Linked DNA regions of Sus scrofa. The protein of the gene in region 2 binds, or shares a complex with, the protein of the main gene of each other region. Links are inferred from orthologs where the notes say so. Each region holds a gene or a part of one and is shown on either strand. Other genes may lie near its edges. The genes, in order: PTPN1 and SRC.

Region 1 (8,683 bases), about 12 Mb from region 2:
ACTTCTGTGCACTTGTATTTTTTCCCTTTAGGGCCACGACGGTGCTTTCTTCCGAGGGGTGGCATCTCTGGAGCCTTTGCGTTCCTCTGTTCTTCCTCGTGCCCATGCCAAGCCCAGAGGCCAAAGTGCCAGCACCTGGTCAGGCGACACGTTCCTACTGGGCTCCATACCCCTCAGCTCACCTTCTCCTGGGTCCTCTGCCTCTGAGGCTGTAGAGCCCTAGCTGTGTTGGCACGAGAGTAAGGGCAACAGGGGAGCCAGGGTGGTGGGGATGTGGCATCTACTCCACCATGTGAGGACCACACTGTACCCCAAGATGTGCGGGACGGGAGAACATAGCCTCGGGGGGCCTGTGGGAAGCAACATGGGATGCCTGGAGGTGGGGCAAGTGCGATTCAGATCTTCAACCCAAAGAACTGGCAAGAAACATTGAAAAATTAAAAAATAAAACAAAATGAATAAAACTGAGTGGAGTTCCCACTGTGGCTCAGTGGTATCGACCCCAACCAGTATCCATGAAGATGTGGGTTCGATCCCCGGCCTTGCTCAGTGAGTTATGGATCTGGCGTTGCAGTGAGTTATGGTGTAGGTCATGGATGAGCCTCGGATTCCGTGTTGCTTATGGCTGCAGAGCAGATTTGATCCCTAGCTGGGAACTTCCATATGCCACAAGTGTGGCCCTAAAAAGAAAAAAAAAAGTTTGTTCTGGCTGGAGTCTAGAGATGGAGGAGGAGATGAGGGGTCCAGGATAATGAGGGTCCAATCACACCCAGTCCTGTAGCCACATAATGTATATCCTGGGAGGGAGTGGGCGCCCCAGTAGGGTTTCGCTGGGCAGAGGTGTGGGGAGACTTGGTTTAGACTAAAGATCATTGTGGATGCACGGTGCAGGACTGAGGAGAGTGAGTCAAAAGGAAGGGGGCGGCCTCAACAAAGACACCTCTAGCCCACGCTGCAAACAATGTAGAAGAAAGGATGACACACATCCTGAAATAAACGCACAAGCAGACACAGCCACGTCACAGAGGCGCGGCCAGGAGCCAAAGGTCTGGGGATTTTATGGAGGGAATCCAGGGTCCAGCTCTTCCTCAGCTCAGGTGCAGGGAGGCACACTTTCACCAGCCAGAAAAAGCAGATATGATGACGATACAGTAGGAAGCTGCTTTTCAAAATAAAACGCTTGCTTCCACAGCTCCATAAGGCAGGTGCAGCGGCACAGGAGGCCTAGGTGAAAGCACAGCAGGGCACGCACAGCCCACTCTGGAGAGACTGATGGTGGGGTGGGAACAGGTCAAGGGCAATTTGACTTTTTTCCCTTTTACATTCACCTATGCATCTGACTTGGTCACAATAAACATGTATATATATATAGAGAGAGAGTTTTAAAATATTTTTCTAATAAAAAAGACCAAGTAAAAGAAATATAAAGGCAATTCAAGGAAATACATAGGCAGAAATATCAACTTTATGGACTGGCAACCACAAAGACAGTGGCGTAAACGGTAGAGAAATCTATGACTTACCGATCCTTTCTCCATCACTCTGTTGAGCATAACAACGCCCCTGCTCTTCTGCTCCCACACCATCTCCCAAAAGTGACCACAGGTATTGGGCAATGGGCCCTGCAAACACACAATTCACAGAGTGTATGCATTTTACACATAGACACACTCCAGTGGGAGCTCACTGTTGGCAGTTAGTCAATGACAGCGCCCTTAGGCAATGTGGTGGCCTTGGCTGGGACAGGGACCCTCCGCTCCCTGCCTGGCAGACAGTAACCACAATTCTATTTCCTACCACAGGGTAAAAGGTCATTTCCGCATCTCAGAGCTGGTTCAGAGCTGAGCAACGGAGGAGAGAAAACACTGATTCTGCTTTCCAGTTGGGGCTGGCTGGTTGAGGGGCTCCACTGAGATCCATGCCTCAGGGCAGGTGGAAACGAACAAAATCTTGGCTGCAGGTCGGAGGTGGTATGGGGAAGAGGCCAACTGTGATGCCCCTGCTCCAACCACGTACCATCTGTGTGACCACAGAAGTTAATTCACCTCTCCTTGCCTCGGCTTCTCCACCTAACCTCACTCACCTCATCAGGGCACCTAGTCACCGGGCTGTGAAGATGAACTATGTTCATATATATAAAAGCCTTACTACAGTACCTGGAACACAGTATATACCCAACAGAATGTTAGCTATTGTTATTACTATTAGTAATGGCTAACCTGACCAAGACAGCCTTCATTTTGGATCAAGAAGAACCACGGAACATAGAAACGCGGACACACAAATGGTCAGGTGGGTGGCCCAAGGGGTATGGTGTCACTGGAGAATCAGGGGTGGTGGTGTCTGCCAAGCAGTTGGTCTGTCTCACTCCAGCCCACCTGGCAATGGGCACAGATCTTTACTGGATACAGTGTATGAATGCCAGGCTATGAACTGAGTTTGTCTCAATTTTTAGTACTGCCCAGAAGGGACATCACCCATCATCTCTGGCCAGCACAACTTCTTCTAGAATCGTTTCCATACATTTTCATCCAAAATCTCCTTATTCTTTGCATCTTTTCCCTTTAGGTCTCACAACACTTCCCTTGACCATGTGAGCCCTCTCACGTTCTTCTCTGAACTTTTCAGGGATTTGCTACAAATCCACGCTCCACACAGCCTCAGATAGCAGCAGATAACCTGCGAAAAACCCCTTCCAGCAAACCAACAGAGAAACGGCTTCGGGAAGGCGGGAGTTATGGGGTCCCTGGGCCTTTGACCCTCCCACCTAGTCATGAGGAGCCTGTGGCCAGGGCCCTACAGCTGTGGCTCCCATCGGTTACTTCCCTGCCTCCCAGTATCACCCCAGTTTAGGATGGGTCTGAGGGATTAAAAATCACCTAAGATGTGAAAGCATACACACCAAACGTAGCCAACACTTGAAGATGGAGTGAAGGCTGGCATCGGTGACATTAATCCCTGTACTTCTATACTTCTGGCTGTTAAAAACCACGACTCTAAGATGCAGACTACATACGGAAGGGATAACCAGCAAGGTCCTACTGTCTAACACAGGGAACTGTATTCAGTATCCTGAGATAAATCATAATGGAAAAGAATGTAAAAAAGAATGTGTATATATACATATATAACTGAATCACTTTTCTGTATAGCAGACATCAACACTGTAAATCAACCTACCTGAATTTTAAAAAATGAGACTATAGGCATGTGTTATGTGCATAACATTAAATAACATTAAAAATAAAAATTGGGTAGGGTTTGCCTGACTTTGTGGCTTGGGACATATTTCACCGACCAGGGGTGCCTCTTTGGGGTCTGGCTGCTTCGATCCCTTACGTAAATCTCAGGACAGAGGGAGACCTATCCCTCCGGATATCCTCTGACATCCATGGTACCATCTGGCAGACAGAACCTCAGGCACAGACAGAACGTCTGAGTAACTGTGAGGGCATGGGGTGAGGGGTGGGGGGGCCGTGGTGTCAAAGTTTCCATGGTGACTTCCTAATGCTCCATGTGACTTTACACACCCTAGCTTTGCTTTGGCTTCCTGACCCCACACCAAAGCTGAATGGCTGAAATGAGGAAGTAAGAAACTTGACTACTTCTTTTTTAAGAGAAGTTCCCAAGAAGACACTTTTGCTTCAGACCTCTTCCCACCAGCTCGCCACAACCAGGGTGTCCTTCCTTTACACCCCGCCCCAGAGGTGACGGGAAGACTACAGGCGAGGCCCTGGGCATTTATTCAGCGGCCCCCAGAATTGAACACACAGCATGGCTCATGTCCCGTACACCCACTGGAAGGTGTCTGGCTGATTCTGGTCATGTGCAGAGAGGAACTGGGGCAGGACAAAAGGGACAGTAAAGAAGGGCCATGGGGGATATGCCCTGTTCCAAAGCATACTTTGTTCAATGTACTTCCTGACTTCACTGTCATTTTAGTCTCCTAATATATATATATATATATATATACATATATATATATATTTTTTTTTTTGTCTTTTTAGGGCCATATCTGTGGCATATGGAGGTTCCCAGACTAAGGGTCTAATAAGAGCTGTTGCTGCCGGCCTACGCCAGAGCCACAGCAACCCCAGTTCTGAGCCAAGTCTGCGACCTACACCACCAAAGCTCATGGCAACGCTGGATCCTTAAACCACTGAGTGAGGCCAGGGACCGAACCTGCAACCTCATGGTTCCTAGTGGATTAATTGGATTCACTTCCACTGTGCCAAAACGGGAATTCCTTAGTCTCCAAGTATTAAGCAGAGTTATGATGTTTGCAATCACCCTATAACCCAAAGCAAATGTAAGACTGATAAAAGTGATATGGAATGAGAAAATGAAAATTATGATTAAAAAAAAAAAAAAGGAGTTCCCGTCTTGGAGCAGTGGAAACGAATCCTACTAGTAACCATGAAGTTGTGGGTTCAATTCCTGGCCTTGCTCAGTGGGTTAAGGATCTGGTGTTGCCATGAGCTGTAGTGTAGGCTGGCATCTGTAGCTGGAATAGGACTCCCAGCCTGGAAACCTCCACATGCTAAGGGTGTGGCCCTAAGGAAAAAAGAAAAAAAAAAAAAAAAAAAGAGAGAGAGAGAAAAACCTGGACCAATTTATTTACAGGTAGCAGATTAGATTGAGACTTGAGAACATTAATTAAAAAGAAACTCCTTTATCCCCTTTCCCACGCATAGTCTTCAGGTCATATACCAGTAAGTGTTTCGCAAAAGGTCAGCTATTAAACCACTTCTATGATTTTTTTCCATAAAGATGCCAAAAGCCAATGGGAAGGTCAAGTGATTTTGCACGCTTGTTTACACAATCTAATCACCCGCCCCTCGCCTGCTCCCACTGCCAAAGAAGGAGCACCAGGCAGAGGAATTCTGAATGGCTATCTAGACAAAGATTCCTGATGCCCTGAGGAGGGTTATAGGCTCTTCTCTAGGTGCTGCCCCTGTCAACAGCCCAAAGGCACCCCTGGCATTTTACTGCTGTTTTCTACAAAACCAGCAATGCCATGCTTCCCAGAAAAGATTCATGTCACAACTAGACTGAATCTCTGAAAGAAGGCTTTTTCCTTCCCTTGTTGTTTTCCTGGGTTGTTTAAAACCTGATCTTCTACAAGAAGTGGCAGATTTTAACTGAGGTTTAGATAACAGCACTCTAACACCAACAAACACAAAACTATCAAAGAAAAATTCACACAATCTGTTTACCTGGGTGAGAATGTAACTCCTTTGGGCTTCTTCCATTTTTATCAAACTAGCATTGATATAGTCATTATCTTCTTGATGGAGTTTAATCCGACTATGGTCAACTGAAAGGCAAACCAGAACTGAGGTTAATCTGGAGGACTCACACTGTCTGCACAGGCAGCACGCGCCACAGGGTAAGCAAAGAAGGCGAGGTGGTGGCACCAGGCGCGTTCATGTTGGCTGAGGCCAAGCCTCACTGAGATCAGTCATCATCATGAGAATGACTAGCTCTCTTTTCTTTTTTTGTAATTTTTAATTAAAGTATAACTGATTCACAATGTTCTATCAATTTGTGATGTACAGCAGAGTGACCCAGTCACACACATATACATATTCTTTTTCTATTACCTGCCAGAACGGCTGGTGTTTTCCCAAAGATTTTTGGAAGTATTTGAAACATAACACTAAATAGCAACAGAGACAAACTACACTAAAACACAGATTATGTACTGTTTGGGAAATCTGTTTTTAGGCGATATTGTCTTAACGTAATGATATTTATTACTGTCCTCACAACTCCAGAAAACTGGGAAGAGGGAACGTCAAGGGATCTGTATTCTGATGCCTATTACATACATACGTTTAAAGGTTAAAAAATACAGTGGCTTCAGATTTCCTGTCGTGGCTCAGTGGTTAACAAACCCAACTAATAACCATGAGGTTTCGGGTTCAATGCCTGGCCTCGTTCAGTGGGTTAAGGATCCCGAACTGCCATGAGCTGTGGTGTAGGTCACAAACATGGCCCAGATCTGGCGTTGCTATGGTTCTAGCGTAGGCCAGCAGCTATAGTTGCAATTCAATCCCTAGCCTGGGAACCTCCATGTGCCGCAGATGTGGCCCTAAAAAAAAAAAAAAAAACAAAACACAGTGGCTTCAATCTTTAAAAGGGAACAAAATCCACCCCAATTCCACCCAGTCCCCAGAGCTCTTGTTAGTAAATGAGCTGAGTAGGTAAGACTTAGGACCACACCTCAACCTAACCTATGCCTAATGGTTTGAAGACTAAATGGCCTAAGTAAACAGCAATGTGAAAGGTTATACCTTGAATTCCTTGACACGGGATTTTTTGTTTTTTGTTTTTTTTTTAAGTTCAAGAATAACATAAATGTAATAATCAAAGACAAAAGAGTTTAAGTGGAAAAAATAAACTCTGAATCCAAAACACTGAAAGTATATATATTTTTTTGTCCTTTTTTTTGCTATTTCTTGGGCCGCTCCTGCGGCATATGGAGGTTCCCAGGCTAGGGGTCAAATAGGAGCTGTATCCTCTGGCCTATACCAGAGCCACAGCAAAGCGGGATCCGAGCCGCGTCTGCGACCTACACCACAGGTCACGGCAACGCCGGATCGTCAACCCACTGAGCAAGGGCAGGGACCGAACCCGCAACCTCATGGTTCCCAGTCAGATTCGTCAACCACTGCGCCACGATGGGAACTCCTTTATTTATTTATTTATTTATTTAGTCTTTTTTGAAAGTATATTAAATGTAACTTTCAGAATAGTTTATTTTTTTAAATTTTATTTATTTATTTATTTATTTACTGGGCTTTTTGTCTTTTCTCGGGCCACACCCATAGCATATGGGGGTTCCCAGGCTAGGGGTCTAATCAGAGCTGTAGCCGCTGGCCTACACCACAGCCACGCCACATCCGAGCCACATCTTGGACCTACACCACAGCTCACGGCAACGCTGGATCCTTAACCCGCTAAGCAAGGCCAAGGATCGAACCCGCAACCTCATGGTTCCTAGTTGGATTCGTTAACCACTGAGCCACGATGGGAACTCCCGTTTTTTATTTTTTTACTTTTGTCTTTTTAGGGCCACAACTGTGCCATATGGAGGTCCCCAGGCTAGGGGTCAAATTGGAGCTGTAGATGCCAGCCTACACCACAGCCATAGCAATGTGGGATCCAAGCCGCATCTGTGACCTACACCACAGCTCACAGCAATGCTGGATCCTTAACCCACTGAGCGAGGCCAGGGATCGAACCTGCCTCCTCATAGATGATAGAATCATTTCCACAGAGCCACAATGGGAACTCCGAGAACAGTTCTTAGGAATAAATTCATATTGGAAAGATTTGCCCCAAGTTACGAAGAAGCCCAGCACTTTTTTTCTCCCCTTTTACTATGACTTTGTTATAAAAGCTATGGTTTCCTAAGGGCCACTTTCCTCATCCCACTAGTATAGCTAAAAAGAGCAGGTGGGATTACACTTAGAACGTATAAGCAATGAGGTTCCACTGTACGGCACAGGGAACTACATCCAATCTCTTGGGGTAGGCCATCATGGAAGATAACATAAGAAAAGGAGTGTACATATGTATGACTGGGTCACCTTTGCTACAGAGCAGAAATTGGCACACCATTGTAAATCAACTATAATAAAAACTAAAAAAACCAAAAAGAGAGCAGGTGGTTATTTTTATTTCTGGTACAACACAAGGGATGATGAACTCAGGTGATCATCCATAAATTTCTCCCCCTGCCCAGTGGAAAAGGAAAAATTAGTGGGAATAAGTGGTTTGAGACTTTGTTCTAAAGGGTCTCAAAGAGATGTTTTTGAAAATCAGTCACTGTTTGGAATAATGTTTCTCATCATAGAGGGTTAATACAAACTGAAACACTTGGGTAATATTTAAGTGGGTCATGGAGATAAGAGATCTCAAAAAAATTATGACTGGCACTGGTGGTTATGTGAGTGGACTCACACAGCACTGGGTGGGGACTTTGGGCAAACAACTTATCGTCTGAGTGCTGGGTTTTCCACCTGCCAAATGGAAGCTAACAACAATCACTTTGTCCCTTGAAACATTTCCCCCATTTCCTCCACAACCTTAAAAGCAAATTACTTTTTCTACTGAAGATGGAGAAAGGGGAGAAAAAGAAAAATATAAAGAGTGAGACTGGACAGGGGTGAAAAAGCTTTTCAATTGTATCTCTGGAAGAATATTTTATTTTATTTTATTTTATTTTATTTATTTATTTATTTATTTATTTGCTATTTCTTTGGGCCGCTCCCGCGGCATATGGAGGTTCCCAGGCTAGGGGTTGAATCGGAGCTATAGCCACTGGCCTACGCCAGAGCCACAGCAATGAGGGATCCGAGCCACGTCTGCAACCTACACCACAGCTCATGGCAACGCCAGATCATTAACCCACTGAGCAAGGGCAGGGACTGAACCCGCAACCTCATGGTTCCTAGTCAGATTCGTTAACCACTGCGCCACGACGGGAACTCCCAAGAATATTTTAAATGCTGTTTTTTTTTCCTCTGTAAAACTGGTTCATAAAACCATTTAGATGAGCACTGATCAAAAACGTTGAAAAGGAATATTAAAGACAACATTAATGCCTAATTCAGAGCAAGTACAGCAAAAGCTGCAGACCAAGGGCCCCGCCGGCAGTGCGTCAAAGATTCCAACA
Region 2 (9,462 bases):
CCCTACTGAGTGCAAGACGCGGGCCTCTTTTACAGCTCCAGAAACCAAGTCACAAGAAGGGGGTATCAGCTGCCAGCAAACAAAGGACATGTGCATGTTTCTGGCTCTGTCCTGCCCCTAGTTATGGAGCCACTGTGTGCGAAACGCTTTCCTCCACTCCCCTTGGGACATCCTGGGGGCCATGACACATACTACCTCACTTCATAGATGAGGAAACTGGGGTGCCCCCAAAGGAAGTAGCCCCCCACCCTCCCAGGGGCTCCAGTGGAAACCAGAGTGGTTTGCCATGGAGATAAAGGGTAGGAGCAGCAGAGAGGAAGTCAAGGGCTGGGGAAACCCAAGGGGAGATAGAGGCTCGGGAGCCACAGAACGGAGGCAGGAAATAAGGCTCTGGACCAAAGGCCCAGGGCTTGGGGCTGGAGGCCTCCGAAGGGGTCCCAGGGCCTACAGAGACATGGGAGGGCCTGGCCACACCCAGTCCTGGACCAGGACTCCAGAGCCCCACAGCCTAAGTTCAGCCCTGTCACTCGGCAACTGGGAGATACTAACCAAGTGGCTTCTTCTCTCTGGGTCTTAGTAAATACTGGAAAATGGGGCCAATCCCACCTAACATGAGCTTTCAAGAAACTGGGATGGCAGGTGTTCCCTTTGTGACCCAGTGTAAACAAACCCAACTAGTATCCATAAGGACTCGGGTTCGATCCCTGGCCTCGCTCGGTGGGTTAAGGATCGGGTGAGCTGCGGTGTAGATCGAGGAGGCAGCTCGGATGTGGCACTGCTGTGGCTGTGGTGTAGGCCAGCAGCTGCAGCTCCAATTCAACCCCTAGCCTGGGAACTTCCATGTGCCGTGGGTGTGGCCCTAAAAGCAAAACAAAGAAAAAGAAACTGGGGTGGGCTGGACCAACAGTGCTCTCCCCAGCTGAGCCTCCTCCCACACAGAGGCTGAGGTGGGACTTAAGTCACCCAGTGCGGATCCTTTCCTAGACCCACACCGTCAGAATCAGTGAGGTCATCCCCTCAAAGCCCTCACTGGACAGCTGGGGAGGCCGGACCCATTGAGCCAACTCATTTCCTGAGTACCTGCTGGTACCAGGTACTGGGCATGCAGCCCTCCTTTAACTCTCACCTGATAGATATGTACTGTTCCCATTTCAAGACAAGGAAGCTAAGTCTCAGGAAGATGGCATGAATCACCCAAAGACACACAGCAAGCAGGCACGGTCAGAACTTGAATGAAAGCCCTTCTGATTCTTGAGCCCTTACCATGCCTCTGTCTCCATCTCTCCAGCCGACCCCTCCCCACCTCACTCCCAGCTTCCAGCCACCCTGCATGGCACTGCCCCAACGCTGGCTCTCAGCCTCTCCTGGCTTCCTGCTACCGAACTCCTATTCTACTTTAAAGCCCAGCCTCAAATGCCTACTCCTCTTGTACCTGATCTGGGCCCCCACAGAGTACCTGGAGTCCAGCCCACATATCTAGTTGCACCAGGCACCTTGGGCAGCTCTGCACCCCTGGTCTCCAACATGGGGCTGTTGACACGGGGGATACCAGTCAGCCCCCTGTGTGAAGATGAAGGCCAAACCCCTCCCCAAGGCCCAGATGGCCCCACATGGTCCAGCCCTGCTGATAACAACCCCCCATTTCACCTCTGACCCCCTCCCCTTAATTTTCTGTGCTCCAGACTCACAGGCCCTCCCATTGTTTCTCCATAACGGCACACACTCCCCCACCTCAGGACCCTTGCACGTGGAGGTCCCCTGCCTGGTAAGCCCTATCCGTAGCTCCATGCCTGGCCAACTCCTCCATGCTTCGGGATTCCTCTGCGCCTCACATCTCTCTCTAAGCCCTTATCACATCGTGATTACATATTAATATATTTGGCAACTTGTTTGCTACTTAGCTCACCCTCCAGACTTAACTTTCCTGGCAGCCAGGGACCTGTCCACAATTCCCCAGCAAGGACACCCCCCCACTCCCCACCCCCCCAAGGCTGACCACTCCCCACAACCCAGGGGCCCTGGGAAGTAGCTGAGCACGCTCTCCCCTTCTCGGTTGAGCAAACTCCTGCTTCCTCTCATCACCGCCTCCTGGAAGCCTCCAGATGCCTCCTACAGCTCCCACTGCTAACCCATCCCCACACTGCTCGGCCCAAGTTCAAAGCTCCTAGAACATCATCGGTGCCTGTATCAGGCAGATTTGGGGAAATGGGGTCAGTGAGGACCAAGGGATGTCAGCAGGACACGGAGCCATCTCCCCCCGGTTCCTGGGGCTTGGGGGAGCCAGACAACACCTCCATCCCAGGTCACAATCAAGGAAGAAGTCAATGTAGGAACTGGCTGTGAGCTGGGGATCATTCATGCTCCAGGAAAAGGCTAGGGGAGGTGGGAGAAAGCCAGGCGGCCTTCCTGGGAGAGGTGGGCTTTGAGCTAAGCCTTAAAGAGCAAGAGCAGATAAGCAGCTCATAGAGGAGAGGGCCCTCCCAGCAGCAGGGACACCTTCAGGAGCCAAGCCCCAGGGGCCGCACAGGAGGGCCTGGGCAGGCAGTCAGCTGAGAGAGGTGACACACTGTAAATCACTTCCCTGGGTGGAAAGACCACATCACCAAGGCACACACATCACCACATCACTAAAAGGGCCGCGTGGCTTCCATACAATCACTCATCGGTATAGTCTTTTCCAGCCCTGTCCTCTGCCTGTTCGCACACTGGGAAACCACTGCTCCCCCCTCATCGGAAGGGTGCATGGGCAGCCAGACCAGGGATTCTGAGGTCGAGGCTCTCACTCCAGCTTCAAGCTGTGTGGGCCTGGTCAAGTCCCTTCCCCTCTCTGAGCCTCGGTTTCTCACCAGCAAAACGAGGCTACATGAGAGTCCCTCCCTCATAGGAGGCGCTCAGAAGATGTCAGCAGTGATCATGATCACTGGCCCATTTTATACTTAACAAAACTGAGGCCAGCGGGAGCCACGTACTGCCTAAGGTCACACAGCTGCTGGGGGACAAAATGGTGCTCAGGGCTATTTCTTTCTCAAGGGTTTAGGAGTGGCTTCGGGGGCACCCAATCCATCTTCTTCTGGGGATGCACCCCACTTGGGCCAACAACTTCACCTCCCAGCCACCTTTTTTTAGGCAATTCATCCAGTAAGGTGTGCATTTATTGAACACCTATTACATGCCGAGCCCCTACATGCAGAAGCACAGAGATTCTTCCCCTGAGGATGCCCACTGCACACACATGGACTCAGAGGCGCGCGGTCCCTTGGCCCAGGTCACCTATGAGATGAGAAGCCTACAGCTGTTTTGTCTCCCCAGCCAGGAGGCCAGAAGAGGGTCAGCACAGGACCAGCCAGATCCATTCTTGAGATCAAGTCTGATCTCAACTGTACTGTGGCTAAGCCTGGACTCACCTCTAGTGACCCAGAGACAGAGTCCCTAAAGCCTGGGAGGCCTGACCCAGGGGCACACAAGGGCTTTGCCACTATCAAGTCTGCCTGAACTGATACCCTATAGGTGAGCCCCTTCTGTTCACCCCATCCTTCCAACAGCCCAGTAGTAAACCCAGCCAGGCCCAAGCTGGGCCTGATGAGGACTCTGAGCTCAGAGAGGTCAGGTAGTTGCCTGAGGACACACAGCAAGGCAAGTAAGTGGTGGTCCCTGTTGGGACTCAAACCCACCACCAATGCCAGCCCGGGCAGGCAGATGGACCCGGCCTGGTGGTGAAATCCCAAAACTTTTGCCAACTTCTGAGCACACAGGCGGCTGGGCCTGCCCAGAGGCAAGTCTAGGGGGCTGTGGGCAGCAGGAACCAAGCACAGTCGGGCCCAGTCCCTTTCAGGCCGTCAGCACCAGGCCCTACCCAAAGCCCCACGAAGACGGGAAAATCCTGGTGCCCTGGCCAAGCACTCCCTCCCGGGCGCCCCCAGGCCCACCCCGCCCGCCCCCTCATCACCTCCCATCCCGGGCTAGGGGCGCCAGGCCGGGCAGCCGCGGCCAGAGGCGGCGCCGACCGGCTCAGATTTCAGATTTGGCCTAGACCTGGCCTGGGGGCTCAGGCCCAGCTCGCGGCTCTCAGGGGCCCGTAGGGGTAAGGTGGGCCGGAGGGGGTTCCAGCGCAGACAGGACCCCTACGCCCCCCCACAGAGCCCCCTCCCCCCCACCCCCAGGCATCACAACAAAAGGCCGCACCAGGCACGTCCCCGTGCGCCGGCCCAGCGCTCCTGGATCGCAGCTCGGCCCGGGGGTGGGTGGGGGGAAAAGGGGGGGCCAGGAGCCCCAGCGGCCCGGCGATCCGACGCCAGGGTGGTCCCCGGGCAGGGGCTCCCTCACTCGGGCGGGGACCGGGAGCCGGCGGCGGGGTGGGGGGCGCTCACCTGGGCCAGCGGACAGGCGGACGCACCGGCAGGCAGACGCACGGGAGGAAGGACCTCCGGACGGCCAAGGGTTCGGGCACACGGCGGCCAGGCCGCTCCGGCTCCCAGGCCGGAATGGATTCCCGGCCGGGAGAGACAGATCGAGAGAGAAAGGGAGAGGGAGGAGGAGGAGGAGGAGGAGGAGGAGGCGGCGGCTCAGGGAGGGGAAGAGGAGGGAGGGAGCGCGCGAGCAGGGAGGAGGGGCCCGGCAGGCCGCCGGGAGGAGGAGGAAGGAGGAAGCGCGCCGGGACGGATTCCCCGCCGGTGACCTGGGATAGACCCAGGCGCGGGCCACCCCCGCCCCCCAACCCTGGGGTCCGGGCGGGCGGGGAATGGGGGGCGGAGGCACCGGGCACGGAAGCCCCGCCCCCCACCCCGCCCCAAGAGAGTCCCTACCCTTTGGGACACCCATCAGCCCTCACGCGAAAATGCCCACCCTCACTGCCCCCAATCCACCTACCCTGTTTACCCCAAATCTACCTCTCCCGAAATTATCAGTAATAATAATAACTGCAGCACTGATGGAGTGCTCACTCCTTGCCAGGTGCCACGCTAAGCTATTCAGGTCAACTTTATGATCTATTCGTACCAACCAGCTGGGCTGGGCAGACCCAAGATTATCCCTATTTTATAGAGAAAGAAACTGAGGCACAGAGAAGGGAATCACCTGACAAGAACCAGGTCTTGGGATTTCCTGTTGTGGTGCAGCAGAAACAAATCCGTCTAGCATCCTTGATCCCTGGCCTCCCTCAGTGGGTTAAGGATCAGATGTTGCCGTGAGCTGTGGTATAGGTCACAGACAGGGCTTGGATCCTGCGTTGCTGCGGCTGTGGTGTAGGCCAGCAGCTGTAGCTCCAATTTGACCCCTAGCCTGGGAACTTCTATATGCTGCGGGTGTGGCCCTAAAACAAACAAAAAAAAATAGGCCTTGGACCCTGGCCTTGACCTGAGTTTCCTTGACCTGAGTTTCCCAAAGTGGGGACTGGAGCAGAAAGGACAGTGTGGGAAAGAGTAACGTTTATTTTAATAGATATGTATTCCTTTTAATGGATAGAAGAGAAAAAAAACTAAGGCAGCCTATCCAATGTCAGCCAGTCCAGATACTCCTACTTAGGATGGGGCTGAAATAGGTGTTTAGTGGCACTTATACTTCCATGTAAATGAAGAGGCTGAGGACCTCTGGACGCAGGGGGCAGAGAGTATAGCAGAGAAAGGAGGGGACATTGAGGAAAGGCTGGTTTAGCTACAGAGCCTCCTGCACCACCTATTCCCCCTCTGGCTTCAGGACTGCCCTCTTGAGGGTGGGTGCTGTATCCTTGGTTCTTCGCACGTTACAGCACAGGGGAAGGGAGGGCCCGAACCCAGCTTTAAATACCACCATCTGGAGTTCCATTGTGGCTCGGCGGAAAAGAATCCTACTAGGAACCGCGAAGTTGCAGGTTTGATCCCTGGCCTCACTCAGTGGGTTAGGGATCCGGCGTTGCTGTGAGCTGTGGTGTTGGTCGCAGATGAGGCTCAGATCTGGCCTTGCTGTGGCTGTGGCCTAGGCCAGCGGCAACAGCTCCGATTAGACCCCTAGCCTGGGAACCTCCACATGCCGCGGGTGTGGCCTTAAAAAGACAAAAGACAAAAAATAAATAAACAAATAATAAATAAATGCCATCCTCTGCCTCCACTTTCCTTCTCAGAAAGTTTTCCCATTTCACAGATGGGAAACTAAGGCCCAGCAGGGTCAAATGGTGTCAGGTTTGGGCTTCTCCTTCTGAGAGGAGCTGGGAGGGGAATCAGGGTACAATATAGTATCCAGGAGACCAGGAATGAGCAAGGCCTGGAGCCAGACTGATCGCCGCCTGCTATACCTTTGTACAAGCCCATCGACTTCCCCAGTCCAGTCCCCTCACCTACGAAACGGGAGCAAACACGGCCTCCGAGGACTCCTGGGAAGGTTAGAACTGACAAGGTTGGGAGTAGCTGAGGTTGCGCGCCATGAATGGCAACTACCATGGTTGGTAAACTAAGGCCAGAGGGGAAAGGGGCTGCTTGAAGTCTCCTGGAAATGCAGCAGCAGAGCCAGCCCCAGAAGCCGGCCTGGGCTGGTGAAATGGCTGCACGTATTTGCAAGGCTGGCTTAAAGATTAACCGTGGCTTCCCGAGATACCGGGCAGGGCCCCCAGCTGGAGTAGCAGGTTTCTCAGCCCTTGTTCACTCCTCAGATAGGCCTGAGGCCTTGACTGGAGACCCAGGCTACGGGTGGGAGGTTCATCCAGTGTGTGCTGGGGCTGGCCCTCACCACTCTTCATCTGCAAGAGCCGACTATATTCATCTCTTCCCAAAGCCAGGTTCAGGGCTGTCATGTTGGTAGCTTGATATCAGCCATGTTGGAACTATTAACACCTTGGAAATCAGCAAATTCTACAAATCAAGGCTTTTTTCCTGCCCGAGAGCTAGCTGTTAAATATTTACCAGCACATGACTAGATTCATCTCTAGGAATTCGACAGAAAGTTGGGCTTCCTTTAGAGCTAGGATGGCAGAGGGCTTAAAGGCACAAACTTTGGACCCACAGACCTGGGTTTAAGTCCCATCTCTACCCCTTCATGGATATGTGACTTTAAGCCTGCCTTTTCTCTGAACCTCACTATGCCAGCCTGCAAAATGGGTAAAGATGGTGCATCCCTCAGGCGGCTCACGTGAGGATGAAGCGACTTACACCCAGCATGTCCGAGCCCTCATTCACACCTATGCACTCTCTTGGAAGAGTCAGGGCAACAAATCTGGGCTCCGAGCACAGATGCCACCTTCCACCTGGAGCCACCACTGGTTTGGCTCAGAAGTTGATAGTCTCAGGAGGATGTGGCCAGCACACTGGTTTCATGATGGAGTGTTGGAAAAGTTCATTATTTTCATCCACCCCTCTGGGCCTTCACTCAGGCTGTAACCCCTACCAGGAATGCTCATGCCACATCCCTGTCCACCAAGACCCCGAGTAAGTGCCACCTCCTCCAGGACATGCTTCCTGAAAGAAATACTCTGATGGAGGCACATCCCAAGCCATTTGGGGAGTTCCCATCGTGGCTCAGCAGGTTAAGAACCCAACTAGTATCCATAAAGATGCAGGTTCAATCCCTGGCCTCTCTCAGCAGGTTAAGGATCCAGGGTTGCCACAAGTTGTGGCATAGGTTGTGGATGCAGCTCAGATCTGGTGTTGCTGTGGCTGTGGTGTAGGCCGGTAGCTGCAGTTACTATTTGACCCCTATCCTGGGAAATTCCATATGCCACAGGTGCAGTCCTAAAAAGACAAAAAAAAAAAAAAAAAAACCCAAAAAACAAAAAAAACAAGCCATTCAGGGTTTGTCTGTTCCAACCCCAAGAACAGGGACTATGGCCTGGTCTATGCCCAGCACAGAGCAGGCACTGCCCACTTGGCCAGAGAGAGGACCCAGACTAGGAATCCACATACAAGAGTCCCACCACTTCCATTCATCAACTATGTAACCTCACCCTCTTTGAGCCTCAATTTACTAATCAATAAAGTGGGTGCAGCAACCCTACCAAGTTTCAGGATTATCACATTGCAAGAGTAGCCAGTCTGGCCTGGTGGATCAGCAAGTGACTCTCTGTCCATTATTTTGCTTAAAACATTGTTAGTAAAACAGCAACTCATTGCTTACTTCCCACAAATCATTTATCATCATTAAGGGACAGCAAACACTTATTGACCGCCGAAGGTATATGCAGCCCTGGGCCAGGTCTGGAACACCAAGAAGGACAATTTCCCAACCCAAACACCCCCAGATGACAGATGTCATTGAGGTCAACTTGGGGAGATGGTGGGCACTGGCTGTACACAGTTCTCTGTCTCTGGAAGCCTCCTCTTCCCTTCTGCCCCCCACCTGGGTCAAAGCCACAACCGAGGACAAGATGGAGCATGTGGGGTGAGGCCTGGCCTCCCACAACTGTCAGCAGACCTGTGGTGAGAGCTTTCCCATGCCATGAGATCAGGGGCACTTCACCCAGGGCCCTAGTGGTAGCCTTTTTGGTCATGCCCACTCTGAGCCCAGCTCATCCTTGGAAAGCAACTGGGAAGCTGACCCATCACAGGCACTCAGTGGGAAATTCCAGACTAGTGCTGTCATTCCCCAGATGGTTGACGGCGAGTTGTCATCCAAAGAAGCAGGTTCAGGGCTGCAGGACAAGGTGGAAGAGTGGGCAGGCTCTTACTTGCAGCTGTGGAATGGGCTTGGCACCCAACATGGTAGCACACTTTACAGTTTACACAGAGATGCCTGGGGCATCAGTGCATTAGCCTGATCTGACCCTTGCCAAGCACTCAGGCCTCTCTTGCAGGCTCTGGTCCCCTTCTCTCCTTGTCACGCTCGCCCCCCTGCTGACTCTCCGCCATAGCAGTTTATTCCACCCCAAGTCCTCTGCACCTGTCCCTGTGCCTGGAATGCTCTCCACCTGTAGCCCTGGCTAAGGCTTTCTCTTCCTTCCTATGGTCAGTCAATATTTACTGAGCATCTACTATGTGCTAGGGTCTGTGGGACATGCTAGGCATACAGCAGTGAACAAACCAGGTCTGGTCTCTGCCTTGGAGTTACTCACAGTCTGGGGACAAGTCACAGCATGCTAGGCACAGCTAAAGGACACACGCTGGGGTCCAGGGGATTGGGAGGAAGGGGCTCTAACTCAGCAAGTGTGTTGGAGTAGGGGGGCTGGTAAAAGAAGGAGGTCATCTGTGGAGAGCAGAGAGTGGAGAAGCCAGAGCAGGTAGGTGCAGGTGCAAATGGGACAGAAAAGGCATTCCAAGCAGAGGGAGCAGCATGAGCAAAGAGAGAGAAGCCGAAAACACTGCCGTGTTTGGAATGATACCTGGGCAGCGCTAATGGAGCCCAGTGTGATGTGTGGGCTGGGGTGAGGGAAGAGAGGCTGGGAGGAGCCCTGAAGATCCTTGAATGCCAGGCTTAGCTTCTGTCTTGGGGGCACTGGGGAGCTATGGAAGGTGGTGAACAGAGAAGGGCCTGGGAAGACGTACTGTCACCGAGTGGGAGGCAGAT

What was found.
Region 1: the proteins of SRC (region 2) and PTPN1 are in contact, whole or in part, in a crystal structure (PDB 3ZMQ), measured with the Homo sapiens proteins. The link is inferred for Sus scrofa from reciprocal best matches to the Homo sapiens genes SRC and PTPN1. Residues at the interface, in NP_005408.1 of Homo sapiens: Glu527, Gln529, Tyr530, Gln531, Pro532; in NP_002818.1 of Homo sapiens: Arg45, Tyr46, Arg47, Asp48, Val49, Asp181, Phe182, Ser216, Ala217, Gly218, Ile219, Gly220, Arg221, Ser222, Gln262.

The regions. Positions count from the first base shown.
Region 1 is NC_010459.5:52,063,683-52,072,365, reverse strand, and holds part of PTPN1 (tyrosine-protein phosphatase non-receptor type 1), read right to left. Parts: intron 5,318-8,683; coding exon 5,217-5,317; intron 1,623-5,216; coding exon 1,524-1,622; intron 1-1,523. UniProt on the Homo sapiens protein: Tyrosine-protein phosphatase which acts as a regulator of endoplasmic reticulum unfolded protein response. Mediates dephosphorylation of EIF2AK3/PERK; inactivating the protein kinase activity of EIF2AK3/PERK.
Region 2 is NC_010459.5:40,466,243-40,475,704, reverse strand, and holds the start of SRC (proto-oncogene tyrosine-protein kinase Src), read right to left. Parts: upstream 4,717-9,462; 5' UTR 4,368-4,716; intron 1-4,367. UniProt on the Homo sapiens protein: Non-receptor protein tyrosine kinase which is activated following engagement of many different classes of cellular receptors including immune response receptors, integrins and other adhesion receptors, receptor protein tyrosine kinases, G protein-coupled receptors as well as cytokine receptors.